Notamacropus eugenii: one gene and its partners. The protein of the gene in region 1 binds, or shares a complex with, the protein of each later gene. Links are inferred from orthologs where the notes say so. Each region holds a gene or a part of one and is shown on either strand. Other genes may lie near its edges.

Region 1 (7,925 bases):
TCTTTCTATCAGTCCAAATGCTCCTCAGTCCCCTTTGCTGGCCCTTCATTCATATCATGCACTCTTAATTGTGTGCCCCCAGTGATGTACTGATAAATATTTAACAATCAGTCCTCTGGGGAGAAGGGGGAGGGGGAAGTATGTCCCCTGGCACACTGTTAAATTTAATCCACTTTAACAACATTTTATCCATCACTTTCTTAAACCCAGACAAAACAATAAATCAAGTCCTAATTTGTAGTGTTTGCTGATTTCCCAGGGGGAAAACTTAACAACAGGCTTTCCTGAGATGGTTTGAGCCAGCTCCTGCACTCCTCTGGGGATCCCCCAAGTGTCTTTCCAGAGCCTCCTCTTTTCACTCCATGCAATCTCACCTGGAGATCTCATCTGCTCCCCATGGGTTCAATTCTCATCTCTTTCATAGCTATGTCCTCTATAGGTAGTTGGGTGGGTGCAATGAATGGAGAAGTGGGCCTAGATACTTCCTGTTTCTCATAATATCCTCTGCTCCTGTCTCCTTTCCTCTATACTGACTATTCCCCCATGTGTTGCCTCAGTTTCCCACCAGGCCCAGCTGAAATCTTATCTCCTGCAGGGTGGGCTTTCCCAGCTCCCCCAGCCACTAGTGCCTTATCTGAGATTACCTTCAATCTACTCTGAATATATCTTAGACACACAAGTTATTCACATGTTGTGTCCCCCACCAGAATTTAAGCTCATTGAGGACAGGAACTGCTTTTTGCCTTTTTTTGTAACCTTGAAGCTTAGCAAGGTGCCTGCCACATGGTAAATACTTTAAAATCCCTGCTGGTGACTTTTATTTCAACATCCCTGAGAGCTCAGCTCTTATCACTATGCTATCACCAGGGCTGAGACCCAAGTGTGTATAAACCAAAACCAAGAGGTCTAAGATAGAAGTGGGAATTTGGAGGCCAGACAGGAAAGTCAAGATCAGGAGGTCAGCACCAGAACAGGGCAGGACACAGTGAATGTTGCTGAAATGTCTATTTTTCTGCCTCAACTCATCCCTACAGATTTTCAGCCTTTCATTATGATGGCACAATGATGGGGGAAGGAAGCTAGCATTTCTTAATCACCTACTCTGTGCCAGGTACGTGGTACATTGGATAGAGTGTTGGGCCCGAAGTCAAATTTCAGATCTGGCCTCAAACACTCCCTAGCTGTGTGACCCTAGATAAGTCACTTCACCCTTCCTCATCTATAAAATGAACTGGAGAAGGAAATGGCAACCAACCTAAGTATCTTTACCAAGAAAACCTAAACGACGTCCTGAAGAGTCAGACATGACTGAACAGCAAGTGAACACACCACCAAAGTGTCCGGCATTGCTAAGGGCTTTACAGTTACTGTATCACTTGATTCTCACCCTTTAAGGTAGGTACTATTATCATCCCCATTTTACAGCTGAGAAAACTGAGGCAGATGCAGGTTAAGTGACATGCCCAGGATCTCACAGCTATTAAGTGACTGGGGGCAGAGCTTCCTGATTCCAGGCTATCCACTGTGACACCTAGCTACCACTTATTACCTGTGTGATCTGAGGTAAGTGACCTTTTTGGGCCTCAGCTATACCTGTAAAATGAGGGTATAGGACAGAATGACTTCTAGGTCCCTTTCCCTCTCTACAGCTATGATCCTATGATTCAATAACTCTTTAAAATGGTGACCTAAAGCACTATGTTGGGAAAGTCCAGCCTGGAACCTCCTAATTAGTCCTAGACCTATTCCCAAGTAGCTTAGTGGGAAGTATAGACAGAGGAAAGAGTTCTTCCTCATTTGCATTCCAAGTCTGTTCCTTGTTACTTCATACGACCTTGGACAAATTTTACCACTATGAGCCTTTTTCTTCATCATTAGGCTGTAAGTTCCTTGAGGATAAGACTGCTTTTTGCCTCTTTGTGGATTCCCAGACCTTAGCCTCTTACATAGTAGGCACTTAATAAATGTTTATTGATTGAAATTGAGGGGTTTGGACCTCCCTTTCAGATCTAAATCAATGAAAATATACAAAGTGTCCCACGGGGCTTTTTGTTGTTCAGTCCTGTTCAGCTCTTTGTGACTCCATTTGGGGTTTTCTTGGCAAAGACACTAGAGTGATTTGCCATTTCTTTCTCCGGCTCATTTTACAGATGAGGAAACTGAAGCCTATTCAAGTGATTTGGGCAACTAGTAAATGGTCTGAGCCTAGATTTGAACTAGGGTCTTCCTGACTCCAGGACTGATGCTCTGTTCGCTTCACCACCTAGCTGCCCCTCCAAGGGTCTTAGTGAAGTTTTTAAGCTTAAAGTAAAAATGAAACTTCACTTTTAAGTTATAGCTTAAAAAAAAAAAAAAGCTTGTATTAAGACTTTGGGGCACCCTGTGTGATCTAACTCCAGAAAGCTGGTCCTTTCACCTTTCACATTCAGTTTGTTTTAATTAATAAACACTATATTGTGGATTGACTCTTCCCCAGAGCTAAGTAAGCTCTGGTCAATGGGGAAGAAAGATTATGATAGTATTATGCTGTATATTACATAATATTATATTAATAATGATCATCACTGTATATTACATAATGTTATATTGATAACGATGGACACGGCATATGACATAATAATGTATTGATAACGATGGACACTGCATATGACATAATGTATTGATAACGATGGACATGGCATATGACATAATGTATTGATAACGATGGACGCTGAATATGACATAATGTATTGATAACGATGGACGCTGCATATGACATAATGTATTGATAACGATGGACATGGCATATGACATAATGTATTGATAACGGTGGACGCTGGGACGCTGCATATGACATAATGTATTGATAACAGTCTCTGCATATGACATAATGTATTGATAACGATGGACGCTGCATATGACATAATGTATTGATAACGATGGACATGGCATATGACATAATGTATTGATAACGATGGACGCTGCATATGACATAATGTATTGATAACGGTCTCTGCATATGACATAATGTATTGATAACGATGGACGCTGCATATGACATAATGTATTGATAACGGTCTCTGCATATGACATAATAGTATATTGATAATGATGGATGCTGCATATGACATAATATATTGATAACGATGGACACTGCATATGACATAATAATGTATTGATAACGATGGACATGGCATATGACATAATGTATTGATAACGATGGACGCTGCATATGACATAATGTATTGATAACGATGGACGCTGCATATGACATAATGTATTGATAACGATGGACATGGCATATGACATAATGTATTGATAACGATGGACGCTGCATATGACATAATGTATTGATAACGATGGACGCTGCATATGACATAATGTATTGATAACGGTCTCTGCATATGACATAATGTATTGATAACGATGGACGCTGCATATGACATAATGTATTGATAACGGTCTCTGCATATGACATAATGTATTGATAACGATGGACGCTGCATATGACATAATGTATTGATAACGATGGACGCTGCATATGACATAATGTATTGATAACGGTCTCTGCATATGACATAATGTATTGATAACGATGGTCTCTGCATATGACATAATGTATTGATAACGATGGACGCTGCATATGACATAATGTATTGATAACGGTCTCTGCATATGACATAATGTATTGATAACGATGGACGCTGCATATGACATAATGTATTGATAACGGTCTCTGCATATGACATAATGTATTGATAACGATGGACGCTGCATATGACATAATGTATTGATAACGATGGACGCTGCATATGACATAATGTATTGATAACGATGGACATGGCATATGACATAATGTATTGATAACGATGGACGCTGCATATGACATAATGTATTGATAACGATGGTCTCTGCATATGACATAATGTATTGATAACGATGGACGCTGCATATGACATAATGTATTGATAACGGTCTCTGCATATGACATAATGTATTGATAACGATGGACATGGTATATGACATAATGTATTGATAACGGTCTCTGCATATGACATAATGTATTGATAACGATGGACGCTGCACATTACACAATACCCTACTAATGCTGAGGACGATCGTAGACGGTGGCCAGCCCTTTGTCTTTCTCATTTCCCTAGTGCTTGTGCCTGGCACACACTAGGTCCTTGATAAGGGTTTCTGAGTGACTGAGCATTTCCGCGGGGCCTCGTTGGAGCTCGGCCAGCCGGGTCCGGGGGTCCGGGGGTCCGGGGTCCGGGGTCCGGGGGTCCGGGGGTCCGGGGTCCGGAGGTCCGGGGTCCGGGGTCCGGGGGTCCAGGGGTCCGGGGTCCGGAGGTCCGGGGTCCGGGGGTCCGGAGGTCCGGGGTCCGGGCTGCGCCCTCCGCCAGGCCCTGTGCCACCGCAGACCTCAGTCTCCCTAAAGGCACAAAAGCCACGTTGGGGCCCCGGCTGCGGGGTCCGGCCGGCCTCGCCCCCCGCGGTGTCGGGGCCCTTAGGAAGGAGGGGGTCGGGTGGACGCGGCTGACCCCCACCCCGAGGGCCTAGGGAAGGAGCCACGTGAGAGCCCGCGGAAGGAAGGCTTGGGGGGCATTTGGCCGCCTGGAGGGCACGGGACCCCAGCAGGTGGGCACCTTAAAGAGATGAACAGAGAGGGGGAGGGGGTGTTGGAGAGAAGCATTGTTTTCTTAAAGCCTTTCCCCAGGGAATCAATTAATAAACAAGTCCGGTTAGTTAAGGGGGGGGCAGGGTGGTAATCTAAAAGTGGTTGGGTTTTTTTGGTAGAGCTTCGATTTACGAATGATTTTACATAGCGAAAAACGAGGCCGACCCCTGCCTGCTCCGGCCCCCACAGAGGCTCCCGGGAAGTAGGGCAAAGAGCGTAGGAGACCAAGGCCGCATGCGCAGCCTGCGTTCTCCGAGTTCAGGCCGGGGCCTGCTGGAGGCAGGGCAGGGAGAAAGGGAGCGGTACGCATGCGTGCGCGTAAAAGTGGAAAGGAGTGGGGGAGCGGCCTGTGAGCGTGCGCACAAGGGGAGGACACGGAGGGCCCCCGGGAGACAGACGAGTGAGGTAGGAAGGGCCCGGCAGGGCTCGGAAGCGCTTAGCCCGCAATCTTGGGGGAGGGAAGAAGGGAGGGAGGGGTGAGGAGATAGAGGGAAGGGTGGGGCGGGAAGTCGGGGGAGTGGGCGGAGCGAAGCGGTGACGCAGCCCGCCGATTACCCAGCCCCCTCCACGGCCCTCCCTGGCACTGACGTGGCTGCCGTCGGGAGCCGCCATCTTGTGGGAGCAAAACCAACGCCTGGAGAGCCGATAAAAAGAAGCAGCGGCAGCCGCTCGCGGGTGAGGAGACGGGAAGCCCGAGGCTCAGGGGCGAGGAGGTAAGGCGAGGCCCCCCTCCGCCACCCCGGGCCCCTGCCCCGCCGCGGCCGTCCTCGGCGCCGGGGCCGGGCGGGGGAGGTGACGGGAGCGGGGCCAGAGCAGGCCAGGCCCGAGGCGGCCGGGCCCAGCCGGGGCGGTCCGCGGCGAGGAAGGCCGCGCTCCGACCGAGGGAGGCCCACGGCGGGGGGGGTTCGTGAGGGGGCGGCCCGGAGCGCGGAGCCTGGGGCCGGGGCGGCGGGGTTGGGGTGGGGCGGGGACCGCGGAGGCCAGAGAGCCGGGTCGGAGAAGCGCCTCCGGTGTGCGAGGCGGCAAGGCCGCGAGAGCCGGGTACGAGCGGGGGCGGGGCGGCGGGTCGTGGGGTGTCTGCGGAGCTTTTGTTAGTATGTTATAGGATCGGGGCGGAAGCGGGGGCCTGGAGGCCCTCGAGGCCCACCCCCGCCGGTTCCCTATGGGGAAACTGAGGCCAGCGGGGGCAGGGTTCGAACTCGGGTCTCCCTCCTCTCACACTCGGCCCCGCCGAGCTTCCTTCGGGCCCCCCTTGGCCCGGGCGGGCCATGTTTAACCGAAGGCCGGAGCCGGCCCGACCCCGAGGCGGACACGAAGCCGTTCTCCGGCCGCCCGCAGGGAGGTTACCGCCGAGAGCCCGAGGCTTTGAGTCATTTTGCGGTGGAGGAAGGAAGGGGGGAGGAGGAGGAGGCATCCCGGTTTCTGTTCCTGGTCGGGTTTGTAATAACGCCTAGCTGTAGGAAATGCCGTGTAGACGGATTCCGACCCCACGCCCCTAAGGTTCGGAGTGAGGGGGTCACGGCTGGGTGCCCCGAGGCCAGCAAGGGAGGTGACTTGCCCAAGGTCACCCGAGGCTGGGGCTCGGACCGACTTCTCCGACTGCCACACCGCCGGCCTTTGTGGAGGAGCGCGGTCGGTCTACACCGAGTGCCGATCCCGGGAGAACGGCGTGCTTGGCCGCCGACGTTGCGATCGGAGGCAGACCTTCGGGGAGCGGGTGTCCAGGCTGCTGTCGGTGGTCGTCGTGGACCTGTGCTCGGTGTCCCTGCCGTAGGGTCAGCCCTTCGGCCAGATGTAGAGAGGGGATGGAGGAACAGTTCCGTCACTGGAGTGACTCCGCTGGGCGCTTGCTGTTGCATAATCCTGGTTGTGAACCGCGTGTAGAAATGTAATTCCGATAATAACTTAATTACACAGCACTTCGTTGTAACTAATTTATTCCGACGGCACCTCGAGCCCGGTCAGAGATTTAAGAGAATTTGTGAAGACTGAGTGATGTTTTAAATAAATTTGGGAGTGATTTTCAGATGCCACTGGAAACAATTCCTAGAATATGTCATCATAGAGTTTTAGACGTAAGAGGATTGGAGTCCACTCTGCCCCTTTTATAAATGAACATTTGGTTGGGGGAGGGAGTTAGGTGACACGCCCAAGGTCATACAGCTAGTTAGTAGGGGGGCTATGGAGATGGAGCAGTTTCCTGGTTACTCTTTTAGAACAATTCCTCAGCAGTTTGTAAAATGCTAATTTTATCCTCATCTTTTCATCAGTGCTTCTAATCAAATATAAAACATAGGATTACACATCTAAGTGACCCGTCCTAGTCTTAGGTATCGTTCTTTGCCTAAACTAAAACTTAAGTATTATGAGAGGATGAATTTGTCAGTTAACTTTAGTTTTTAGTAATAGTCAGTGATTCAAACTGTTAGACCTTGAAGTACCAAGTGTTAGTTGGGGCCAAAGTTAAAAGGAGTTTAATGGTTTAAAAATTAATCACAAGCCTAGTTTGTTTATCTTCACATGTTACTGAAATGTGTTCTCTCCAGTACTTGGGTGATAGACTATGATTTTAGGGAAATATACGGACAAAGCAGTCTATCCATGTAACTCAGCTCACCAGTTACAACCCCCAAGTCTGAAGGTATCTGGCTATCTCAAAAGGATGTCACATAATTCCCCTTGCTTCTGTTCTAAAAAAAAAAAAAAAAGTTTGTTTTGGCATACTCTTAGAAATGTTATTCAGCATTTGAGGGGAGCTGATACTGTTACAACTCTAAAAGATAGGAAATAACTGAAGCAAGATTTATAGTCGGCATGCAAAAAGCAGTTGCCCTACACCCTAACAGTTCTGCATTTTTAATCATGTGATCTAGCCATTCACTTTACCTCTTACCCAACATGACAAGGGCATTCCACACACCCTAGTACCTGCTAACTCGTACTTAAGGTAGGAGTAACTTGGAACAAAGGAAAGTTACAATCTCAACTTTTTCATCTCTGTAAGTGATTAACAATAAATTTTGATTTGGAGGGAGCAGAGTACTTGCAAAAAATGGTTGGCTGTTGTGGTGAGCCTTTTTTAAAAAAAGACAAAAATCAAGCATTTACATTGTGTGCCATTTTGTGTACTGCTGTCTTAGTGTTAGAGGTGTACTTTTGTTTTTATGAGAACCAGATCTGATATTTGCGTTTGCAGGTAGATGGGGGTTTTCCTTTTTTATCCCTTCATTCTTTTGTACTGTTTGACTTTCTTATTCTTCTG
Region 2 (7,477 bases), on another chromosome or scaffold:
CCAGGCCTAGCGCCAGCGCTGGAACAGGAATTGATCACCTGGGAAGAGAAACATTCCTCCAGCGCATTGGCAGACATGACTTCAGCGTCTACACTTTGACAGGCGCTAGAGACCTCAAGAAAACCAGGAAGCAGACTCTGGCCTCCATAGGCCCTCTAACCAATGTATTACATATCTCTTCTGCACCTGCTGCATCCCAAGACCAGCACGACCACCCACTATGTGGGAAGCAGCACCTCAACTGAATCCTGAAGAAGGCTGGGTCTGGGGAAGGGGAATGGCAAGATGTCAACAGTCAATAGGCCAGGCTACATAGGTCATGAAGAGGCAGTCACTGAAAGCAGGGCAAGAGCTTGGATTTGGCCCTAGGGACCCCACGGAGTCACTTGAAACTTCTGGAGCAAGGAAATAGCCTTGGGAAGATGAGACTGGGATGGGGGAACCAGATGAGAAGTGCTGAAAGTCTGGGGAGAAGGGGCGTAAGAAATGTTGTAGGACTTGACAGCGAATTAAATGGAGGAGGGAGGACCTGGGGAGGGGGGATGATTGTGGTTCCAAATCCAGGCAGAAATAGTGAGCTTTCATGAACATGTCAGGTTGGAGATGTCCAGGAGGAAGATGGTGACATAAAGCTGGAGCTCAAAAGGAAAGTGGGAACTGCTTCCAAGACACACACACACACACACACACACACACACACACACACAGAGGAAGTGCCCAGGATGGCATTGGGGTGCCTGCAGTGAGAGGGCAGGAGATAGATACATCTCCAGCAGAGACAGAGAAGGAGCAGACAAGCAGGAGGAGAGTGGCCAGCAGGAGAGGGTGGAGACCATTATGGTTGTCCCAAACTGCAAAGAGGTCTTAGAGGTGGGGATGATTTCTATAGTGCTTCACACACATTATCTCCCTCGATACACTCCACAGTAACTTTAGGATGTGGATATCATTGTTGTAGTTGAGGAAACTGAGTCAGGGTGACAGCTGAGAAAAGGCTATCAGGTTTGGCTATTAAGCAGAGATCATTCATAACCTTGGAGAGATCAGTTTCAGTGGAGTGATGAGGTCGGAATTAGCCAGATTGTGAGGGGTTGAGAAGTGAGTGGGAGGTGAGAAAGTGGAGGCACCAATTGTAGACAGCTTTTTCTAGGAGTTTGGCTGAGAAAGGAAGAGACTGAAGTTGGGTTAAGGGGTGGGGACCATCCAAAGGTGCAAGCATCTGGAGGAGATGGGATGAAGGGCACATGTCAAGTGGTTGACCTTGGTGAGGAGAAGAGTCACGTCACTGAGGAGAGACTGGAGCAAAAAAGGAGAGAGGTGGGGGATGATGTCAAGGTAGTTTGAAGCATAGCCAGGTCCTGATTGATGTCAACAGTCAATGCCATGAAGTGGTCCCACACATTTGAATCTAGACTATTCAAAGTTTTGATTGTGTACAGTCTCGTAATTGGTTCTAGCCCAATGGAATTTGAATAATGTGACCATGGAATTCATTGTTTGCACTAATTGGGACGTGGCTGAGTGGCTGTACAAAGTGGGGAAGGAGAGGGAGTTAAAATGGATGGGCTCGATTTTCTCATAAAGCAGGAGTAGAGAAAATGGATGGTGAGGGTAATTCAGGCTTGTGTCCTGGGGCCAGAGGGCGGGGGATTCAAGGGAAGAGGTCCTTTAGACATCAAGGCCATGAAGAGAGGAGAGAGGCCAGAGTAGGAAGAATAGGGAATGATGGAGGGACTGGAGGCTTCAGTGAGGAGGAATAAGGTGAGTAGGGATGAGGCATTTAGGGTTAGAGAGGAGCGATTTGGGGGTTGTAAGTGGAGAGAAGAGGAATATAGACCTTCGAGTTAGGTCTCTAGTGAGAATGACCCTGAGGCTGAGGTGACTGGAAGGGTTGAGGTGGAGCCATCACCAGAAATAAGGAAACCCAGAGGAAGGAAAGAGAATGTGCCCCAGTTTTGCCACATTGGATTTGAGATGCCAGCTACAGAACATCCAAGAGATGTCCCACAGGCAGTTAGGTAGTGATGTGGAATAGGGCCTTGGGAGGGAGATTAGGACCCCGTAGATAGGTAGGTGAGACTTGAACCCATGGGAGCTGAGGAGGTTACCAAGTGAGAGAGTGTTGAGAGAGGAGGGCCTTCGAGAGAGATTTGGGAGGAATCTGGCTGTGGATGAGGATGAAGCAAAAGAAATTGACGACCGCCAGGAAAGAGGCTCTCATGTGTGCTGCCTGTAACACTGAGCTGACAGATCAGATTACAGTGTAATTGGGAATTATTTAACAAAATTAAAAAAACATACAATTGAACAGAGATAATGTTGCTATGTGGTTTTCTAAGTCACTTTGCAGCCCCCAGGGATTCTTCTGTGCAGTTGAATGAGCCCTGGTTCTAGGAGAGTGATTGCTTAAGTCCTCTTTCAGTTCTCTGCCAGTCTTTGATTCTTGGGTCCTGCCAGTAGAGGGAGATGGAGATCAATGAGCCAGGGAGCCCCACTACCAAAGAGCTCCCACCTTCTGGAGGGGAAGGGAGAAGTCTGCAGGGAAAGATCTTGGCAGAGTCAGAGGCCAGGACTCACTAAAGGGAAAAAGGTGGGGCCGGATCCTCCTCTCCTGTAGCTCCCTCCTCATCCTCACTGCTAACTACCCCTTCTGTCTGCCCCATTAGGGGTGGGACCTCGTACTCTGAGGGCATGGCAATTCCCCATCTCAGGCTTAAATGGTCACTGCAGTAGAGAGCTGGTCTGCTGCTCACTGCCCTAGGAACTCTGTCTCTGGAGTTCTCCCTGCTGATCTGCCCCCCTTCCTGGGGATTCCAGGGGATCCCAATGTTGACCCCACCTCCAAAGGAAGGGGTGAGGCATGGAAGGTTGAGGAAAAAGTGAGGGCCAGGGCTGGGAATGTGGTGAGGGGAGGTGGAGGCTGGGTCTGGCCTGGCTCTCTCAACAGACCAGGAAGGGCAAGCAGGGCCAGGGGAGCTGGACTGGAGGGGGAGGGGGGTCTAGATTGGGGTGCAGCACAGAGGTGAAAAAGCTGGCCAGGAAGTTGGTGGAGGCTCATGGGTGGATCTTTTTTTTTTTAATTTGTTTGTTATCAGTTTTTAACAATCACTTCCATAAGTCTTAAATTTTCTCCCCCTCCCTCCCTGAGATGACTTGCAATCTTATATGAGTTCTACACATACATTCTTATTAAACACATTTTCACATTAGTCATGTTCATGGGTGGATTCTGTTTTACTTGAGTTCTGTCTGTCAGTCCATCTGTCTCTCCCTCTCCTCTGCCTTCCGCTCTCTCTTGCTTGGGGGTTTCGGAGTAATGTGGGAGTTTGGTCTTTGGTGGAGGGACCCCAAGGCTAGGCTCAGGGCTTGGGGAAGAAAAGACTTCCCCCGGCTTGGGATGCTCCGAGGCAGCCAGGTGTGGTGGCTGCGGTGATCTTGGTGGTGGTGGTGGTGGTGGTGGTGGTGGTGGTGGTGGCGGCGGCGGCGGCGGGCGGCGGCGGCAGTGGCGGCAGGTGGTGGAGCTGGGCTGGAAATAAGAGCCTGCCTCTGTGACGGGCTGTGGGTAACCCCACCCCCATTGGGGGCCCTCAGGATAGCTGGCTAATTAGCTGAGTCGGACCTCCAGATTAAACACCGATCTCTCCTTCCCTCTGGAGGCATTGATGCTTTGATTCTCAGAGCATCTCTGCCAACTCCTCTGGGGAAACTGAGACCCATTTCCCACCAGCTGCACTGCTCTGAGCCATCACAGCTTCCTTCCCCAAGTAACTTGTCATTATCCTTCAAGACTTTTTGTGCCTGTGTAGCCACCTGTCCTCTGTCCCCTCTGTCTCTCGGATTGGCCCCTCCGGCTGCCCACGGTTTCGTCCTCTTTTCCCACCAGTTCCACGGTGGGGGGGACTCACCTTGTGCCCTCCCTTCAGCTTCTACCTCCATTAAATTATAAGCCTCTTGAGCGTTGGAATTGTGTTTTTATTTGTATTTTAGGTACCCCTCGAAGCGATCGCAGTGCCTGGCACTGGCACGCAGTGCGTGCTAACACGTTTCTTGACCGACTCATTGGCTAAGGTCCCACCCCGCACTTGGTACTTCGGAAGGGCACTCTTGGCGGGCCTGAGCAAAGGCCAGGTGGCGGAGTGGGCGCTTTATCCCCGTTTTCAATCCAGTTGTCCCAGGCTGCCCAATCTGCCCCCCCCCCCTCCCCTTCTCACCTGTCCAGGATCCCAAGACCCAGCCCGGAAGCCCGGGTCGAAGGAAGGGGAAGACCGGAGGGGTGCATCTGGGCACCCCCGCACCCCCCATCCCCGGCCCGCTCAACTTTGCTTCCCCTCCAGTCCCGTGGCCGAGTTGGGGAGGGATCCGTGCAACCGAGCCTGAGGGAGGAGGCAACGGAGGGCTCAGGGAGACCCACGAGGGGGAGGAGCAGGGCCGGCGGTGGGCGGGCCCCGGAAGCTCTGCCGAGGGGGAGCGCCGCCCCACTCATCGGGCCCCGGGCGCGGCGTCCAGCGCTCTGGGCAGGCCCGGAGGAGGGATGGACTGATGGACGGAGGAGGGCCGAGAAGGCGGCCAGGGGGCGGAGCCAGCGCCAGGGGGCGGGCCCAGGGGCGGACTCGGTCGGGGCACTGCGCAGTGACTCCGCAGCGGATCCGGAGCCGGAGCCCGAAGCCGAGCCGGGAGCTCCGCGGCGCCGATCCCTCGCCCGGTCCTCCTTTCCTCCTTGCCCCCCCGGCCCAGGCCCGGCTGCCGGCCCCCCGCCGCCCCCCCGGCCTCCGTCCCCCCCTCCCCGGGCCCGCAGCCCCCGTGCGCGCCCGCGGCCCCCGGCGGCCCCCTCCCCCTGGGCCGGCCCCAGCGCCAGCGCCGGGCCCTGGGGGGGGAGGACAGCGAGGAGGAGGAGGCCGAGGCGGCTGCCTCTGGGGGCTGTGGCGCGGGGCCCCCATGGACGAGTCGGGGGGCGGCGCGGGGGGGGCCGCCGGGGAGAGCCCCAGCCGCGCCGTGGAATACCTCCTGGAGCTGAACAACATCATCGAGGGCCAGCAGCAGCTGCTGGAGACGCAGCGGAGGCGCATCGAGGAGCTGGAGGGCCAAGTGGACCGCCTGAGCCGGGAGAACCGAGACCTGCGCGCCGGCGCGGCGGCCGCGGCCGGAGCGGGGCCGCTGCAGGCCCGGGAGAGCCCCTACCAGAACCTGCGGGACACCCAGCGCCTGCACCTGCGTCGCGAGCCTCGCCTGGGCCCCCCGCCCCGGGCCCCGCCGCCCTCCGCGGCCAAGGCGCCCTACGCGGCCCGGGGCGAGCCCCAGAGGGACGGGCCGTTCGGGGGCGCCCCCTGCCACCTGCACCACGAGCGCGCGGGCCGGGACTGCCCCGGCGGGCGCCACCGCCCCTGCGAGGAGCCCTCTCCGTACCCGGGAGCGGGGGGCGGCGGGGCCCGGGGGGAGCAGCCTCCCCCGCCGCCGCAGCCCCCCCAGGCGCCGCAGCCGCAGCCCCCCCAGGCGCCGCAGCCCCCCCAGGCGCAGCCGCCGCCGCAGCCGCCGCCGCAGCAGCAGCCCCCGCAACCGCCCCGGGGCCAGATGAGCCGCGGGGCCTCCAGGAGCTCCAGTCCGGGGGCGGGCGGGGGCCACAGCACCAGCGGAAGCACGAGCCCGGCCACGACGCTTCGGAGAAAGTAAGGCAGGCCGGCGGAGTCGGGGCTGGGTGCGGGGCTCCCGTGCGGGGCTGGGGGGTGCGGGGGACAGGGCTGTGCCTGCGCGCACGTGGGAGCTGGCCCCGATTCAGCCCGGGACCCGAGGATCACACAGGCATGCGGGGAGGCCGATGGATTGGGGGCCTTGCTCCTCTGGTGGCCTTGGCCCCTAGGCACTGATCCCCGAAGCCTCCTCCCCCCTCCTTTTGCCCAGCCCCGTTTGGCTGGAGTCAGGAAACCTGCTGCTTACTCCCTTGGTGCCTTTGGGCAAGTTACTTTCCCTTTCCGAGCCTCAGTTTCCATGTCTGGAAGATGAGGGGATTGGATGTCATGCCTCTGAGGTCCCTTTCGGTTCTCGATCTAAGCGTCTGTGACCCTAAGAGGGAGGCTGAGCCCTCAGCTCTGAGCCCCATGGCCCTCTTCCTGCCCCCAGCCCCGGAGGAGGGGCTGCAGAGGATCGGAAACTGCCCACCCTCACCCACTCCTCTCCGGAGCCCATGTCTCCCTTCTGCTAAGAGATTAGGAGACACTCTGGGTCGATTTGCAAATTTCCTCCTTTGCTGGGAGTAGGGGAGATGGCTTCTGGGGATGGGCAGCCCTGGCTATGGTCCCTCTAGGGCCTTCTCCATCTGGCCTGGCAGCAGCCAAAGATAGTATGTGTTTGGGGCCTCTCGACCTCAACTTTCTGTCTTTGCTCTGTGTGTCTCTGGTTGTATTGGTCTGTCTATCTGATACTGAGTGCAAGGAAGGTTATGGCAGCTGAGCTCACATGGGTTCTTAGAGGTCACTGCCCAAGACAGGTATGTCTTGGTGGAAAAGCAGGGGATGTGTTAATGTGCTGACGGGAGAGTAAAAATAAGAAAGGCTGGGGGTGGGGGGCTTTTCTGGAGCTTCCCACACAAGCTGGTGCCCTAGCTCCCTCAGCTCTGGCTCTTAGGGGCTCTTTGAGCTTGGGTCAGCTTCTTGGTTTGCCCTGCCAGTCAGGCTGGGGAGGGGGACCCTAAACCCTGGAGGGCTTCCTTGGTCTTCTCCCAGTCTGCCTTGCCTGACTTCCCTCTTTCTCCCCAGAGCAGGGCTGGGGGTCAGGAAGCCTTGTGTCTTGGGGAAATCTACCTGCCATTTCAACGCTAGCCCAAGAGGCTTGGGTGGCAGCTCTGGGGTTTACGGGACAATAGGGTCCCCAGTCCTATCAAGGAAAAGGAAGGGAATAGTTCCACTGTCCTCCGCACTGGTCAAGCCCTTGCTTGAGGACTGCATCCAATATCGAGAGGAAGCCACCTTTTTTTGCTTTTGCATTTTCTAGGTTTTATTAAAAATGCATGTTGATTTTGACTGTACATTGTGCCCACAGTCCCCTCTCTTAGAAAGGAAAAACAAAGACACCTGGTCTGACAGAGTGTGGAACAGTCAGAGGGCTGTTGTGAGCCCTCCTGTCTTTTTCTTCTTTCCTGTTGTCGATTATTGTATAGCCCTGTGCAATTCCGATTGGGGTTCCTGGGTATGTTAGCCATAGAAATGCTGGTTACACAGTGATGATGGTGACGATGGGATCTCTTCGTGGTTGCTCAGTTCATACAAGTCTTCCCAACCTTGCTCAGAATTTCTCATATCATTGTTTCTTGTTGGCGCAACATTGGATTACCTTCACAGGCTTCACACTTTTGTCTGGCCATTCCCCGGTGATCACAGAAAGGGCTAGTATGAATACTTGGATCCATCTCGGGCCTCTCTTTCTGGCTTTGGCCTCCTTGGGATAAATGCCTGGCAGTGACATTGCTAGAAGAGGGGAGAACAGC
Region 3 (7,476 bases), on another chromosome or scaffold:
TTTATCCTATTCACATTCACAGTTATGATAAAGTGCTTATTTTTCCCCATTCTATTGTCTTAGGCTTTTTCTTCTCTATGCTCTTTGTTTCCCATTTATTTCAAGTTAGAAACCTTTCTTTTTTTTCCCTTTTTAATCTTCTCTTTGCTATCCCTTCTCCATGCTTAGGATTTGTTTTATGACCAATCCCTCTCTTCTTCCCTCGTATATACCCCTTCCCCCTCTTCCTGTTCCTATCTGCGTTTTTGTTTAGTTGAATATATTTCTATACCATATTATTTGTGCATCTATGTGTGTTTTGCTCTTTTTTCATCATTTTAGATGAAAGTAAAATTCAAGTGATTTCTCTTCCCCTTCTCACTCTTTGCATGTTTATATATAGTTCTACTAGTACAACCCAATTATGTGGCAACAAATTCCCCTATCTTTTCTCCTAGTTTTTCCTAATGTATCCTTTCCTCTTCCTTCATTTCCCTTTTTCTTACAGTATTTTCAAAACATAGTAAAACTATCTATAGGTCTTCTGTCTCAATTGACTACCTCTGTGATTCCTTGTGACATCAGGGTTTTGAAAGAACTTTTCGAATACCTTTCCCATTAGAATGTAAACAGTTTATTCTTATAAAGTCCCTTCTGATTGTTCATTTGTAGTTGCATTTTTATTTTTTTATCCCCTATATTTGTATTTCAAAGTTTCTTTTCAATTTTAGTTCTTTCATTGGAAATGTTTGAATGTCCTCTATTTCATCGAAGATCTATTTTTTCCCTTCTATTATTATACTTAATTATGGTTGGTAATTTTTGGTTATAAACCTTTATCTTGTGCCTTTTGCAATACCTCGTTTCATGTTCTCCATTCCTGTCTTGTGATAATTGTTAAATCTTAAGTGGTCCAGACTGTGGTTTCTTGATATTTGATTTTTATTTTGGCTGCTTATAGTGTTTTTCTTCTGTTTGGAAACTCTGGATTTTGGCAATGACATCTCTTGGAATTTTTTTTAAAGTGTCTTTAGATAGGTCATACATAGGTTCTTTTTTTCCCCTCTCATTGCACTCTTATATGTCCTGACAATTTTTCTTTCTTTTTCCCATTCAATTTTATTTTACATTCAGTTTCATATTTTCTCCCTCCCACTCCACTTTCCCTGCCCTTTGAGAATGTAAGAAATATAAAACCAGGCAATTTTTCTTTAATGATTTCTTGAAATGTGATCAGGTAATCTTATGATTCTTAAGTTATCTCTCAATCTGTTTGTGATATGAGATAACTTATATTTCTTCTATTTTTTAATCCTTTGACTTAAAAAAAAAAGAATTCTTGTCCCTTAGAGTCATTAATTTCTATTTTTTCCATTCTGATTTTTAAGTTTGTTATTAGGTAAGTTTTCATCTCTCTTCTGTTAAGCAGATGATCCTATTCCCAAATCTTTCTTCCATATCTCTCATTTCTCTTATAATACCTTTTTTAAATTCTTACATCAGTTTCTCTAAAGAATTCTTGTTGTTCTTATAGGCATACTGTTTTTGTTTCTTTGAATCTTTGATTATAGATGTTTTTAAATTATTCTCTTCTGCCACATTTGCATCTTGGTCATCCTTGGCATCATAAAAGAATTTTATTACTTTTTTTTGTTTACTTATTTTTGTTGCTGAGGCTTCAGCAGTTGAATTCTATGTCTCCAGGGATCAAATCAAATTGAGGATCCTTCCTGTGTTTAGGCCAGACTTTCCCTTTCCTGGGGTTGTGGTTTCAGCTCATGTCTTTTCTTCCATCATAGATACCCACCTTTTCCTTTTTGCCTTGGATCAGCTTTGGTTGAAGTTTGTTCCTTTACATGAGGAGAGAGAAGAAGAAGAGGCCGTTTCTTTACTTCTTAGTTAAATCCAAGGTTGCCTTTCTTTGGTGGAAGAGACCTAGTTGAGACCTGTTCTTTGAGAGGGAGGAGGAGAGAGGAGGAACTTTATTTTTATTTATGTCAGCTAAAGACCTCCCCTACTTTTTTCCTCCCCACCTAAAAACAATGGGAAACCTTTGCAGAGGCTGTTTTTATTTACAAAGGATTTTTTTTTTAAGTTTTTCTTAGAGTAGTGCAGAAAGTCTTTCAGTTTTCTTTCTTACAGCTGAGTACTTCTTCTTCACCTGAAGACTTTTACTTTCATCCCTTAGGGGATCTGGATATTTACTACTCTTCTAAGGGATGAGTTGGTTAATCAGATTGTTTAGTGATAGTATAGAACTGATCTCTACTTTTTTCCTTCTACTTTGACATTTTGGTTTCTTGAATAAAAAAGACATGCCTTTTCTAGAGGTGGCTTGGTAGTGCATTGGACAGAGTGCTGGACTTGGAGTTAGGAAGACCTAATTTCAAATTCTGCTTCAGATATATATATTCACAGACATACATATATACATACACACATATGTATATATATATATATGTATATATATAGGTAGATAGATAGATAGATAGATAGATAGATAGAGTTAGCTGTGTAATCTGCAGACCTGAAGGTGGACTTTTTTCATCTGTAAAATGGGGATAATAACAGCACCTATTTTATAGGTTTGTTGTGTGGATCAAATGAGACAATATATATACATATATGTCACTTTGTAAAGTAAAGGCTATATAAATGGTAGCCATTATTATTAAAGGAGAACATAATGATAATTGGATTCTATTTATCAGAATAAGATGGGGAAATGGAGTAGATGGGGAAATGGGAGGGTGACAGGAGATCCTTTTGGGGTGGCCTTAAGGCAGAAAATGTCCTGGGTGAAGGTGAAGACCAATGGTCCCAAGGAGCACAAATCCCAGTGACTTAGGTCCTCCCAGACATGCCCTCTAGTATTCCAGTTTGGAAGTTAACATTGTCTCAAGCACCTCTCTCTCCTTCCCCCTCTCCCTGTACCCCAATGACTAGCAAAGTGTTTGGCCCATAGATACTTAATAAATGATTGTTGATTAATTGAATAGAAGGAAGCTACAAGGATATTGATTGCCAGTTAGTCAACTAGTGTTTGTTAAGCACCTACCATGTGTCAATGCTAAGTGCTGAGAATGAACAGAAAGGCAAAATCAATCAATTTATCTAAACCTATCTATCTAAACCCTCAAATAGAAGGAACAGATCTCTAACATTTTAAGCTGACCAGCAGTGGTACAGAATGGTTCCAGGTAAAGAACTCGTCATTAGAAGGGCAAAAGAGATGACTCCATCAATAAAAAAAAAATAGAGGAGGCTTCTTGCACTTAGCAGAAAGTTAAAGCAAGAGATGTCTAAGATCCTTTCAACAGGTTCTCTCATTTAGGTTCAGAAACCCTTTTAAGAGGCTTTCTTGCTTTGCCCACTATGTAAGGTTCCATGTTTTCTGTTTGGAATTCAGTTACTACTTCAGTTTCTTCATCCCTAAAATGGGAGGGGGGGTTGGACTAGATGACCTCAGATACCCCTTCCAGTTCTTGAGCTATGATCTTATGACTTAAAAACACCTTTTTCATCTTTTCAATTACTATTTTAAAAATCCCTTCCTTCCCCTGTCACTCCAGACAACCAGGCTGTCTGCCCCTCTCCCCTTTATAAATATTGTTCCATTGGATCCTCACAACAACTCTGGGAGGCGGGTACTTTTATAAAGCTCGTTTTACAGATGAGGAAACTGAGGCAGGCAGAGGTTAAGTGACTTGCCCAGGGTCACCCAGCTAATGAACTCACATCTTTCCCCCTCGGGCTAGGGCCACCTACCTGCCCCACCCCAGAGAGCATGCAGTCTACATCTCTCTTCTGTGTTGCTCATGCAGTATCCGGAGTGGGTGCCATCAGCCTGTGAGCGCCACGAGGACCCGGACTCTGTCTCTTCTAAACTTTCTGTTTTCCCCGGCACTCACTCTGCACGCAGTAGATCCATATTACATGTCAGTTGAATGAATGAATGAGTGAATGAATGGAATGATCCAAAGAAAATGGAAGCATCGGCCATTCAGGTAGCTCCTGCTAGGCTACTGGGCAGCAAGGCAGCCGGCAGCCTGTAGGGGCTGGGTGTTCCAAGGGACGCGTGTCAACGCTCCGCTCCCAGTCTTTTTCACGTTTGTCCCCTTAGCTGTCACTCAGGGAGGGGTGGGCCCGAGAGAAACGGGGGGAGGAGTCTGGAAGGGGCGTGACTATTATTTCTAGGTGACCAGTGAGACAAGTTTCGGAGCTTGAGTAGGTGGGGCTACGCGCCATGGGGCGGGGCCCGCGGAGGAGAATCCAAGGCGGGGCCTGAGCTTGTCAGAGGTTGGAGGGAAGGCCTCTCAGGGCAGAGAGGAGGAGCCAAGGACGTTCCGATTGGGCGGTCCAGGGGTCGCTAAGGAAACGTGGCGCGCGGCCGCTAGGGGGTGGGGGAAGCCGGATTCGGCGTCCTTGGGAACCGGGCGGGTCCAGTCTCGGAGGGAGGCGGAGCCATGAGGGGGCGGGGCCTACGGGAAGCGAAGAGAGGAGGAGGGAGCGGCGAGAGCTGTCAGCTGACCACGCCGCCATCTTGTCCGCCATTTGCAATCTGACTGGAGCGGGAGCACTAAGGGAAGAATCCTGCAGGCAGCGAGCCGGCGCCGGTCCAGCCGCCGCCGCCGTCTCCGCCCGCCCCGTGCTGCCTCCGTCTGGGATGTGACGGCCTCCGGCCCGGCCCCCTGCCCTTCTTCCCTCCCTCGCTTCGGAGCGCCCCCGGCGGCAGGCCCAGCCCGGCGACCCCCTCCCGTCAGCCCTCTCCCTCCGCCCCGGCGCCCCCAGCCCCTGCCCCAGGCCGGCTTCGGCCGCCGCTGCCGCCGCCGCGATGGCGCTGAAGATGGTGAAGGGCAGCATCGACCGCATGTTCGACAAGAACCTGCAGGACCTGGTCCGCGGCATCCGGAACCACAAGGAAGACGAGGTGAGCCTTGCCCCGCGAGCCTGGCCGGGAGGCCCGGGGCCAGGGGCTGCCCCCACGCCCCCAGTGGCACGGCCACGTCGGCTCCTGTCCGGCCGCCGCCTCCCTCCCGCGGCGCTCCGGCTAGCCGGTCTCCGCCCCCGTGGCGGGCGCCTTCCTCATCCCCCCGCCACATTCAAGGCCCTTCTGAATCCGAGTGTGTGTGTGTGTGCCCGTGTGTCCGTGTCCCCGATGCTCTGGTTGGGCATCCCCGATGTCCCCCTTTGTATAATTCGGAGCTCCTCCAGGTTGACCACCTCTGATCTATGCAGTTACTGCACCGTGCATTTATCGAGCGCCTGTTGTGTGCAGGGCGCTGCTCAGAAGTGTGCTCAGGGCTGTGAAATCCTTCCCGGCCCCTCCGAACCCCACCCGTCCTTCCCCCAACGCCCCGGGGTCTTGGATGGTTTCATTTCTACTCTCAGGTCTGGGCAAGGACTCCAGGCGAACCCCGAGCTGAGCCTCACTGGGGGTGCGGGGGACACGGGGAGCCTTTAGGAAGCTCTCCTGCCCGATCTAGTGACCCTCCCCGGGAGCGCTTTCCTGGTCTGCCGCCGGAGAGTTATCCCCGATAATTCAATCAAAGTTGAAATAAGGAAGAAGACGAGGGCCTGCCGCAGTGGGGCCTTGGGAGTGGAAAAGTGGACCTCAAAGAAGCCGAAAATAGGGTGTGGGGAGGAAAAGAGTGCATGTGACTTCAGCCGGCCCTAAACTGAGACCGAGAAGGGGCTTGCACGGCAGGGGCTCAGTAAACATGTGATGGGATGTATGAAAAAAAGTGGCAACAGTATCATTGAATGTATCCACCTTGTAAACTATTCCCGAAGCGTCCTTAAAAGGCAAAACCGTTTTCTGTGCTCTGGATGACTGGTGTCAGTTTGAATATCTCGACATCTAGTCTTACAGGACTGTTATTGAACACTTCAAAAGACTGAGATATTATCATCTTTGCATTTTGTTTGCCTTTCTTGTTTGATTCTCATTTATGAGACAGTTACAAGCCCGGTTACAAATGTTGAGAAACTGTTAGAATCCTGCTATTGTGGTTTTGGGGAAAGGAACTAAGTAAGGATCAGTTTCAGTGGAGTTATTGTTTCTCAAGCACTGTTGTCTGAAATCCTGCCACATTCTGAAAAAGCTCACTGTTGAGGACAGTTCATTTTCCTCTTCTTTACTCAAATTGAGGGGGAAAAAAAACTGGTAAGGAGTAGTCCGGTATCTGCAATAGTTTACAAGATGTGATTTGCTTTTTATGATACCTGCCTATCCTAAGGCTTTTTAGGAAGGGTAAAGATAAGGAACAGGTATTTAATTTCTTGTAGGAATTATTGTTACATGTATAATATTGACAGATAAGGTGGAAATTCCCTTGGGATATGCCACTTTGTTTCCATTTATGTACGCTTTTCTATATTTTGATGTCATTTAGAGAAAAATGAACTGAACTCAAAAGAAACTGGTATTTTTTGCAGCTTGGGTAGAGTCTATATTTTATATCCATGACTGCATTATTTGTTAAGGGACCAGCTGTCTGATGTACTTTAAAAACACCTTCTAACTTTGACTGAATTGAAGGAATATAGTGGGAACATCTCTCCAGAACCCCTTAGGTGCAGCTTACCTGACTGCTTGCCAGCACTCTTCATTGCAGGTTCCCATCTGACACCTGTCAGTTGATTCCAGGAAACGGTACCAGAGTCAAGCACAGTTGGAGAGCTCTTCAGGAAAAAGACTTGTTGAGTCCAGATCCAGCCTAGATCATCTTAGCCTCTTGAACACTAGAGTGGGAGAGAGGGCTAGCTGAGGACAGGATAGGATGGGACTGAGCTGGGAGCTGGGGTGCATGTGCCATCCATTGTCTTGTCGCCACTCTTGATACCTGTCATTTCAGTTGCAGTAGTAAGAACTTCCATGAACTCCTGTTTGTTTTGTCTAACATGGGTGAAGGGAGGGCTTTATCAGTGTTCCATCCTGTACTCCTCCAGCTTCTAAAACAGTGGAAGAACAGGATGCTCTGAACAGTGTTGGCAGCATAGAGTCAAATAACTGGAGGGTATCTTTGAGATCATCTTGTTCAAGTCAAACATCTTAATCTCCTTCCTGCTCATACATCAGTTAAAGCTATGGTTTTGAGTCAGCTGCTCTGTCTCTCTTAAGTCTTCTCTTCTTCAAAATAAACACTCCCAAGTTCCGGGAAATATGAAAATTGCTGAGTTTCACAGATTCTTGAGTTGGTTATTAACTCCCCATCATTAGTCTATGTGCTTTTTGAGTTTTTCTAGCTATGTTTATATTTTTTAATTAATAAAACAAAAGAGTAATGACCCCTCAGTGAAGAAATGCATATTCTGGTATTTGTGATTTAATCATTCCCCTTCCAGACTAATTATAATTAGTAGCTTCGAGTAATGGAGTTTTTGTTTCCAAGCAAACTTAATCGACAGTTAGGTATAGTGAAATTGTTGAGTTGGGGTGCAGGACTGAGTAAAGAAGTAAAGCATATCTATTCATTGAATGATGGACATGACTTT
Region 4 (8,003 bases), on another chromosome or scaffold:
AATTAAGTACTACTTTCTTAGAGGTGGATGAACCATGCTTCTGGTAAATCCTGTGCAGTTCTCATTTTTCATTTAGCAGCTTCTGAATTTCCCCATCATTTTCATCAAACCAGTCTTGGTGTTTGTGAGTGTTCTGACCCAGATGAGCAAATGCAGTGCTGTACACCAAATCTCTGAAAGCTGCCCACTCCTTTTCTGCTCCACTGTTGTCAGCTGTGTGTTGGCTCAACTTTCCCTCCAAGTCAGCAGCAAACTGTTCAAGCTCAGAGAAGACTCTAATTTGTTGACATTAATTCTTCTGGTAGTCCTTTTGCCTTGGAGTCAGCGCTTTTGATGGATGCAAATATTAGCTTGGAAAGGATAAGTCTATGATCAGTCCAGCACTCTGCACCTCTCACTGCCTTTATCACTCTCACATCTTGTCTGTCTCTTCTCCTTATAATCACATAGTCTGTTAGATGCCACTGTTTGCTGTGAGGGCGCATCCATGAAGTTTTATTGTGTTTAGGTAAATGGAAGATAGTGTTAGTGATGAGAAGGTCATGTGATGCACAAGTCTTCAACAGTAAATGACCATTGCTGTTGCTGTTTCCCACTCCATTCCTCCCTAGGACTCCCTGCCAAGTCTGGTAGTCTGAGCCTAATCCAGCATTAACGCCACCCAGAATGATAAGCTTGTCCTCTTTTGGCACATTGATGGTAAGGGTCTTTAGTTCTTCGTAAAATTTTTCTTTGACTTCATCAGGGTTTGTCATGATGGGAGCATAGGCACTGATGATGGTGGCATGATGTTTTCCTGTGAGTGGCAATCACATTGTCATGAGCTTGTCATTCACTCCTTTTGGCAGGCATACCAGTTTGCTGATTTGATTAGTTTTGGTTGCAAAACCCACGCCAGTTTCACAGTGCTCCCCTTCACTGCGCCCACTCCAGAAAAAGGTGTATCCAGTTCCAACCTCAGTAAGCTGGCCTTCATTTGCCAACTTTGTTTCACTCATGGCTGCTATTTGGATGTGATACCTGTTGAGTTCTCTTGCAACAAGAGCAGTTCTTCTTTCAGGTCTGCTGGATTTTGTGTTGTCTGTTGGTGTGCGCATGTTCCATGTGCCAGTGGTGAGTGGAATCATTTTTGCAGATGTTTTCATATATTGTTCTCATCCGCCCATTCCACCAGAGGAAGTCTTCACATGCTTGGGGTAGACACCCCTCTAACTCACCAATGGGTTTGAGAACCCTTGGTTGCCCTCAACCTGGCTTGGCCTATCTGCTGACACGGTTTACCAGGGTGTGGCCGCTGCGCATGCTGTAGTTTCTCGGAGCCATAGGTGAGAGTTGAGTGGAACAGGTGGACACCAAAGGTGGAAAGAGCCCTGAAAAGGGCTCAGCAGCCATCACACCAAAGGTACTGGTCCTCCCTGAACACACCCTACACCCCAGATTCTACACATACATTCTTATTAAACTAACTGTTTAAAGTTATTATTTTTTTTTACCAGTTGTCCATGTCTTTGTATGAATTGTTCTCTTGTTTTTGCTCACTTTACTGAACATTTGTTTTTAATTCTCAGGGTTCTTTGAAATAATCTTTTGTCATTTCTTAGGGCACAATGATATTCCATTTTATTTATATATCACTGTTTATTTAGCCATTCCCTCGTGGACATCCCCTTACTTTTTCTTTTCTTTCCTTTTCTCTTTTTAATTTTCACTTAATGATTAGGAAATTTTTTTTGGCTATTTCCTCTCCATTATCTTCCTTTGTGTATTTCAGTTAAGAATGAGATTCTTTTGCTTCCCACTTCCTCTTTCTTCAGTTTATTACTCTTCTGAATGCACCCCAGTTATAAGAAATAGTAAATTCTACCTCCTTCTTCTTGTGTGTATCAGTGTATCCCTTCTTCCCCTCTAAAAAACCCCCAGAACAGAACCAGTCCACCCCGAGGTCCTTTGTTTTCTTATCTAACTCCCTCAATAATTTTTGAAGAACTAAATAATAATAACAGTAGTAACCCCCAGAAGTGTTTTCTGTGCATCATTTGATTCTCATAACAATCCTGAGAGTTAGGTTCTATTATTATCTCTATTTACAGGTTGGGAAACTGAGGCAAAGAGAAGTTAAGTGACTTCACACTCCAATTAAGTATCTGAAGCAGAGGATTTGAACTTAGACTTTCCCAGGTTCAATCCCTGCACTCTCTGTATTTTTGTCACCTTGTGACCTTTAATGAAGACAGTAAGCTTCTGGAGGGATAAAGATTTCTTTTCTCCCAGAAGAACATTATCCTTTTAGCTTTCCTGAGCCCCTTCCCACTGGCAAAAATGTTACCTGTCTAGGTTTCTTTTGAGTCCTGTGTTCTTGCTAAACTGTGATCTTTTCCTTTAAAGATTTATCCCTTCCTTTTCCTCCCTCCCCTGAGCTTTCCCCTGAGCTTAAGGTGTTCTTGGTTGGAAGCACATGGAATGTTTCTTTTGAAATACCTTATGCCAAGATCTCTTGTTTGTAGTTGAAGGTGTTGAGTCATGTGTGATCTTTTCTGTGGTTGCTTGGTGTTTGAACTGAATTATTACTTTTTTTCTGGATGTTTATAGTATTTTTTTCTTTGACATAGAAGGTCTGAATTTTGTTTGTGGCATTCCTGGGACCTTTCCTTTTGGGATGTCTTTCAGAAAATTATTGAATGAATTTTTTCTGGCCTTACTTTGTCCTCTCTTTCCAAGAGATCTAGGCAGTTTTCAATGATGAATTGTTGAAATACAGCATCTAGGTCTTTTTCCTAAATCATGATTTTCAGTCTGGTGCATCTAAAATTCTCTTTCACAGGTTTTTGACATTTTACATTTTTTCTCAATCTTTTGATTTTGTTGTCTTATTTCTTCTTGTTTCATGAAATTGTTGATTTTTGTTTGGTCTAATCTAGTTTCTAGGAGGTCCATTCTTGGTTAGCATTTACCATTTTCACTTTAAAACTACTTGATGCCTTTCTTGTCCTTTATGTAGTCTTTCTGGTAAATCTATATTTTCCTTTGATTCTCACCTTGCAGATGTAATGGAATTACCCCAGAATCCAACCTAGAAGAAGAAAATATCTCTGAATTTATTATAATGCTTTAATAATGATCTATGTCTTATTTGGTTTACTCATCTTTCCACCCTTAATTCTAGAATAGGGGCTTTGTGCTACGCTCAGCTTCTGTCCCCTTATGTGCTTTTGGGTGGAGTGTTTATCTCTCCTGCTCTCATCAGGGGGTCACCTGGGTTCTTTCTCTTAACTAGGATGTACCCCCTTGCATCTTTGAGGTTGGGAGTGCTGAATGTTCTGGACCCTCTAGGAACCTTGGAGCTCTTGAACTTGGGATGTTGCCATCTGAGTGCTACCATGGCCAGACTGGAAACAAAGTCTATTCTTATCTTTTGGTGTCTGGCTAAACAAATAGTGGCACAGAAATGTAACGGAATAATGCTGTGCCATGAGAAGTGATGAAAATGCAGAATTCAGCATGAGGAGGCGTATGTGGATTGATGCCAGGTGAAGTGAGATCCAAGAAAGGAACATTCACAATGCTTATTGCAGAATAAATAGAAGGATTAAAAAAGGGGGGGTTGTGGTAAACTTAGGAGCATGCTCGTTCCTGGGGAAAAAGAGATGAAAATGCTCATCTCTCTATTTCCTGAGGTTGAGGGTTTAGGGCACAGAACATGTTACGAATCCTGTCAGACTTGGTTGATGTGTTGGTTAGTTTTGTTTCACCACTTTTTCTCTTCCTTATTCTTTGGTAGAAGGTTTGACTCTGGGGAAGAGAGTGGGATGAGGACCGTATAAAAATAAGAGATGTCAATAAAAAGAAGTCATCTGGATGAATGCTCTTTCTCTCCTTTTCATGTTGCCTTTATTGCTGTTTCCTGTGCCTGTGATGCATTCTGCTTCCTCCTCCTACCTCCCTGCCCCCAACTGACTCATGGGATAAACCATCTCATTTCTGTCCTAGCAGTAGTGATTGATCCCTTTCCCATCTGAACTCAAGATGTTGTAATTTTCTTGTGCATTTAACACATTCTGATATGCTCAGTAGTTACTAGTGTAAGTATAACAAGCCAACTAGATTTTAATTTTCTTGAGGACAGGATGAAGTTTCTTTACCTTCATGTAGTACCTTTCGCAGTGGTCAGCATAGAATAGATACTTAAATGTTTGTTGACACTATGGTCACATGCCTCAGCAGAATTGGACAGGGCAGAGAGGCTGTGAGAAATTTGACAGTTATGGTAGAGAAAATCCCCAGAAACACAGAACAGTAAGACTTAATGCTGGAAGGTATCTCAGCAGTGATCTGGGTGAACTCCTTTTGTCCATGAGGAAACGGAGGACAAATATTGACCTCTTTAAGCTCATACAGTTAAGTAAACAGTAGACAGCCAAAGTGAAATTAAAGTCCATAATGTAGGTATGAGCATTAAAATTGTACATAAACCCTTCACTGAATGTAAGTCAGTAGCTGATTTATCAGCAGCTCAGAAACCATGGCATCTGATATATTGGAGAACTCTGTCAGTGATTTCCATCATTCATTGTTTGTCATTGTTTGAAGAAATAAGGGTTGTTAAGAAGACTTGGTGACCTGGTTTATTAAATCTGTTGGGAATAAGATTTGTTTGGGTTCTCTTAACAGATGAAACTAGTTGAATTTGTGGCATTTTGTAACTTGATGTTTGATACATGTATCTTAGTTTTTTGATGCTTTGTTAGGGATACAAAACATTTCCTGTTGTACCACAAAGTGTGGGAGATCAGAAAAAAAGTTGTTTGTTTGTTTTTTTTTTTTAACAAATGGCATATCTGTTTACCTAGGGAAGTTGATAAGAAATTCTATTAAAGGAAAATGAACTTTGAAATTATTCATTATTTTTGGTGGCATTTGCTCAGTGAAGGGAGTGGATATCCTGTGTCTTAGAATTTAATAACCTTTTATAATTAAATTTCTAATGAAACAATCAGCCAATTTCTCCTAACTTGAGATAATGGAAGAAGAATCTTCATTTCTGGGTCATGTTAGTGCAGTATCTTCTACAGTTAAATCTATTTTGGGATTAGCAGAGACCCTCCAAGTTACGCTGAAATCTGAACCAACTGTGGAAGAGAAAGGGCTCATAGATGCTGTTACTGAACCAATTGAATGTCCTTTTATTATTAGGTAAGTGTTTGGACCTTTCTAAATTGTTAAGAGAAGTAGTCTTTCAAAAAGATGATAAAATTGTAACCAGAGATTTTTTGGGTTCTTTTACTTTAAAAAGGGCAAGTGGTGGTTAATGATCAAAGAGTTAAGGACAGTAGGAGAACCTGATTGTCTCCATTACCTTTGATGAGTTCATATCAGAATGTTTTCATGTGCTCGTTTCTTTATAAGATCATTTGTCAAAGTGCTTTAAATGCGATACTTAGGTAAATGCAGAATTTCTAAGTAAATTATGAGGAAGGTTAAAAGAGCAATGAAAGCATTGTATTAGATAATGGAATAAACAGTTCCTAAAGTTGATTATTAGGGTTTTGTTTTTACCCTCTTACATTTCCAACCTTCTCTTCTAAGGGAATGCTTCATTTAGTAATGAGTAATACTAACTGTATGAAAATTCTTAAAGGTGAAAAGCCATTTAAATCTGAATCAGACTTGACCTTCATTTTTGCCTGAAGAAATAAGTAGTGGTTGCATTTCAGGATCACACACACACACACACACACACACACACACACACACAGCTTTTAAAATATGAGGTTAATAAGTTATATATACATTTTTAAAAGCTAGCTACGTCTAATACTTTAACACAATAAAAGATCAACATTTTTTTCATTTTTAACATACTGCATCTGTGAAGAGATCCAGTATTATAAATAGATTGAAAAGTTAGAAATTGGTAATTCATGTATGAAATGTAAATAGAAGAGATTACAGTCTGTTTTTTTGTTTACTCACTGTAAAATGGTTCAAACTACTGAAGTAAAGAACCTGCTTTTTCTGTTCTTCCACCTGGTTCTGTCTCTGTCACCTCTTGTTAACCTCTTAAACCTAGGAATATTTCTTTCTCTGGATGAAAAATTGCTTCCCATCTCCAATCCTTGTTGCCAAATTTTCAGTTTTCCTTCTAGATTCAGATTCAAGTCATCATTTGATTTCACCTTTGAAATTAAGATCATTGTATTATATCTTATGTATTTAGTAGTGATACATATGTATAATGTATATATTTATTATTTCAGCACCTTTGAGGTTATCTTGAATATTGGCGACAGACAAAAGGAATTAAAGAAATTCTTTTCATCCTTAACAGTGACAGTGCATCTCTCTTTACTAAAGTAAATTGAAATTTTATCTTTAAACTAAAGAAATATTGGCTCCAAATTGTGCTTATCACTTAATCTGTGTGTATATTTCATAAATGGGTGATGATTATTTTTGACAAGGACTTTTGGGCTTCAGTTTCCTCATCTGCAAAATGGCGGGGGCCTAGGGAAGATCCAAGATCCCTTCGAATCCTAAGGCCTCGTGATTCTGTTACATGGATTTGTGTTTCCAAGATTTCGTTGTGCTTGATAGAACAAAGTTTTTTAATAGTAACAAGTAGATTAGAACTTGCTTTTTTTTCTTTTTGAAGTATTCGCAGGAGAACAGAATTTGTGTAAACTTTGTTTATTTAGAAAAGGAAGGGTGGTGTTTGGAATCTGAATTTAGACCAGGATATTGACTTTTTTACACTTAAGAATTGTTCTGACTTTATGTAAATTTCTGTGGAAAAGCCTTCTTATAGTAACCTAATTTAAATATTCCGTATAGGATATTCAAAACTGCTGTGGCTAAGTGGCATCCCCTATTTACTCCTCTCTTTTTTTTTTAAGCAGATATTTCATTTCTCAGAGGAGCTCTGCTATTAACTTTGATATTACAATGACGTAAATTCAGTAGCACAGCTAACCTCAGCCACTGGCATAATTTTCTTTTCTGATAAATCTTTTTGCCTCACAGACCAAGTGGATTATAACTTTGTAACCCTGGGCAAGTCCCTTTTTTCTTTGGATTTTCATTTTCTAAATAGAGATGTTCATAGTGTAGAACCAAGTGAGGTAATTAATGGAAGTGCTTTTCAGTGCATCAAAACAGGGTGCACAGTGCAAGGTGAGAGCAGACAGAGGCATTTCTGGGAGAGCCGGCAATAAGCAGTGAGAGTTGAGAGCAAACTAAGAAGGAGAAAAAAGGGACCTGAGTAATGTACTTGTGATTCTTTGAAAGTAGTTACGAAGGGAGGAATTACCTCAGTAAAGGCCGTAGGTATTCATGAATTCAAAGGCTTCTCATTAAGATTTTTTTTGTGTGTGTGGAGTAGGCTGATGTTTTTGTATCCGTGAACTTTGAGCAAATTCGTAGCGTAAACAAGAGGGAATATTTGCATAGGAAATATTTAGTTTGCTTAAAAAAGCATTTCCCTCCCAAACTTTGGGATGATTGGGCCAACATTCATTTGTAGAGAGTGTGCAAGCAAAAAGATAGTTTGAAGTTACATGGAGGTCATCGTTATCAGCTGGTACAAGACATGTATTTCTTTGTCATTTTAAGTTTCTTAGAGTACTCTTGGCGACATTTTAAAAGTTTCTGTTACTCTGTGTACTGGAAAGTAAAACCTGCCTTTTTGAAAAGTGTTTCATAATTCTGACATCTTTTCTCCAAGTCTTCTGAATTAGTGGGATATACAGTAATAACTCTATATGGTGACTTTAGGAGCAATGAAAAATTACAAAGAAAATAGGCATTTTCCTTTCCTGGAGGAACTCATAAAAGAGGATACTTATAAATTAATGTTAGTGGGTACTGCTTTAATATTTCACCCGTGGGAGTTTTCCTTTCCCTGGTATTGTTTATGCCCTTTTGAGGCTGAGCCAGTTGGAACTTCTTAGTGGAACAGCTGTGCTGTTACTTGGTGTGGGATCTACAGGCTCCTTCGGTGTTGTGGGATA

What was found.
Region 2: the proteins of ARF1 (region 1) and IQSEC2 are in contact, whole or in part, in a crystal structure (PDB 6FAE), measured with the Homo sapiens proteins. The link is inferred for Notamacropus eugenii from reciprocal best matches to the Homo sapiens genes ARF1 and IQSEC2. Residues at the interface, in NP_001019397.1 of Homo sapiens: Arg19, Gly24, Leu25, Asp26, Ala27, Lys30, Thr31, Ile46, Pro47, Thr48, Ile49, Gly50, Phe51, Asn52, Val53, Glu54, Thr55, Thr64, Trp66, Asp67, Val68, Gly69, Gly70, Gln71, Lys73, Ile74, Pro76, Leu77, Trp78, His80; in NP_001104595.1 of Homo sapiens: Arg810, Gln811, Gln841, Arg845, Val846, Gln847, Gly848, Glu849, Ala850, Gln851, Val853, Glu854, Glu858, Asp879, Phe882, Ile883, Phe886, Ala887, Ile889, Leu890, Asn892, Thr893, Asp894, Tyr896, Ser897, Pro898, Ser899, Val900, Arg904, Met906.
Region 3: the proteins of ARF1 (region 1) and AP3D1 are in contact, whole or in part, in a cryo-EM structure (PDB 9C5B), measured with the Homo sapiens proteins. The link is inferred for Notamacropus eugenii from reciprocal best matches to the Homo sapiens genes ARF1 and AP3D1. Residues at the interface, in NP_001019397.1 of Homo sapiens: Tyr35, Ile46, Pro47, Thr48, Ile49, Gly50, Phe51, Asn52, Val53, Glu54, Trp66, Lys73, Ile74, Leu77, His80, Tyr81, Gln83, Asn84; in NP_003929.4 of Homo sapiens: Lys48, Asp50, Phe77, Ile80, Glu81, Ser84, Asp107, Met110, Leu111, Thr112, Thr113, Asn114, Gln115, Arg117, Lys118.
Region 4: the proteins of ARF1 (region 1) and AP3B1 are in contact, whole or in part, in a cryo-EM structure (PDB 9C5B), measured with the Homo sapiens proteins. The link is inferred for Notamacropus eugenii from reciprocal best matches to the Homo sapiens genes ARF1 and AP3B1. Residues at the interface, in NP_001019397.1 of Homo sapiens: Glu17, Arg19, Tyr35, Ile46, Pro47, Thr48, Ile49, Gly50, Phe51, Asn52, Val53, Glu54, Lys73, Ile74, Leu77, His80, Tyr81, Asn84; in NP_003655.3 of Homo sapiens: Glu52, Asn54, Pro81, Val84, Lys85, Val87, Ala88, Asp111, Leu112, Leu114, Leu115, Ile117, Ser118, Thr119, Gln121, Arg122.

The regions. Positions count from the first base shown.
Region 1 is NC_092872.1:9,976,031-9,983,955, reverse strand, and holds the start of ARF1 (ADP-ribosylation factor 1), read left to right. Parts: upstream 1-4,910; 5' UTR 4,911-5,068; intron 5,069-5,222; exon of another isoform or gene 5,223-5,376; intron 5,377-6,456; exon of another isoform or gene 6,457-6,551; intron 6,552-7,925. UniProt on the Homo sapiens protein: Small GTPase involved in protein trafficking between different compartments. Modulates vesicle budding and uncoating within the Golgi complex. In its GTP-bound form, triggers the recruitment of coatomer proteins to the Golgi membrane.
Region 2 is NC_092879.1:102,346,686-102,354,162, reverse strand, and holds the start of IQSEC2 (IQ motif and SEC7 domain-containing protein 2), read left to right. Parts: upstream 1-4,467; 5' UTR 4,468-4,539; coding exon 4,540-5,663; intron 5,664-7,477. UniProt on the Homo sapiens protein: Is a guanine nucleotide exchange factor for the ARF GTP-binding proteins.
Region 3 is NC_092875.1:64,317,977-64,325,452, forward strand, and holds the start of AP3D1 (AP-3 complex subunit delta-1), read left to right. Parts: upstream 1-4,471; 5' UTR 4,472-4,813; coding exon 4,814-4,909; intron 4,910-7,476. UniProt on the Homo sapiens protein: Part of the AP-3 complex, an adaptor-related complex which is not clathrin-associated. The complex is associated with the Golgi region as well as more peripheral structures.
Region 4 is NC_092875.1:472,068,141-472,076,143, reverse strand, and holds the start of AP3B1 (AP-3 complex subunit beta-1), read left to right. Parts: upstream 1-4,991; 5' UTR 4,992-5,017; coding exon 5,018-5,190; intron 5,191-8,003. UniProt on the Homo sapiens protein: Subunit of non-clathrin- and clathrin-associated adaptor protein complex 3 (AP-3) that plays a role in protein sorting in the late-Golgi/trans-Golgi network (TGN) and/or endosomes.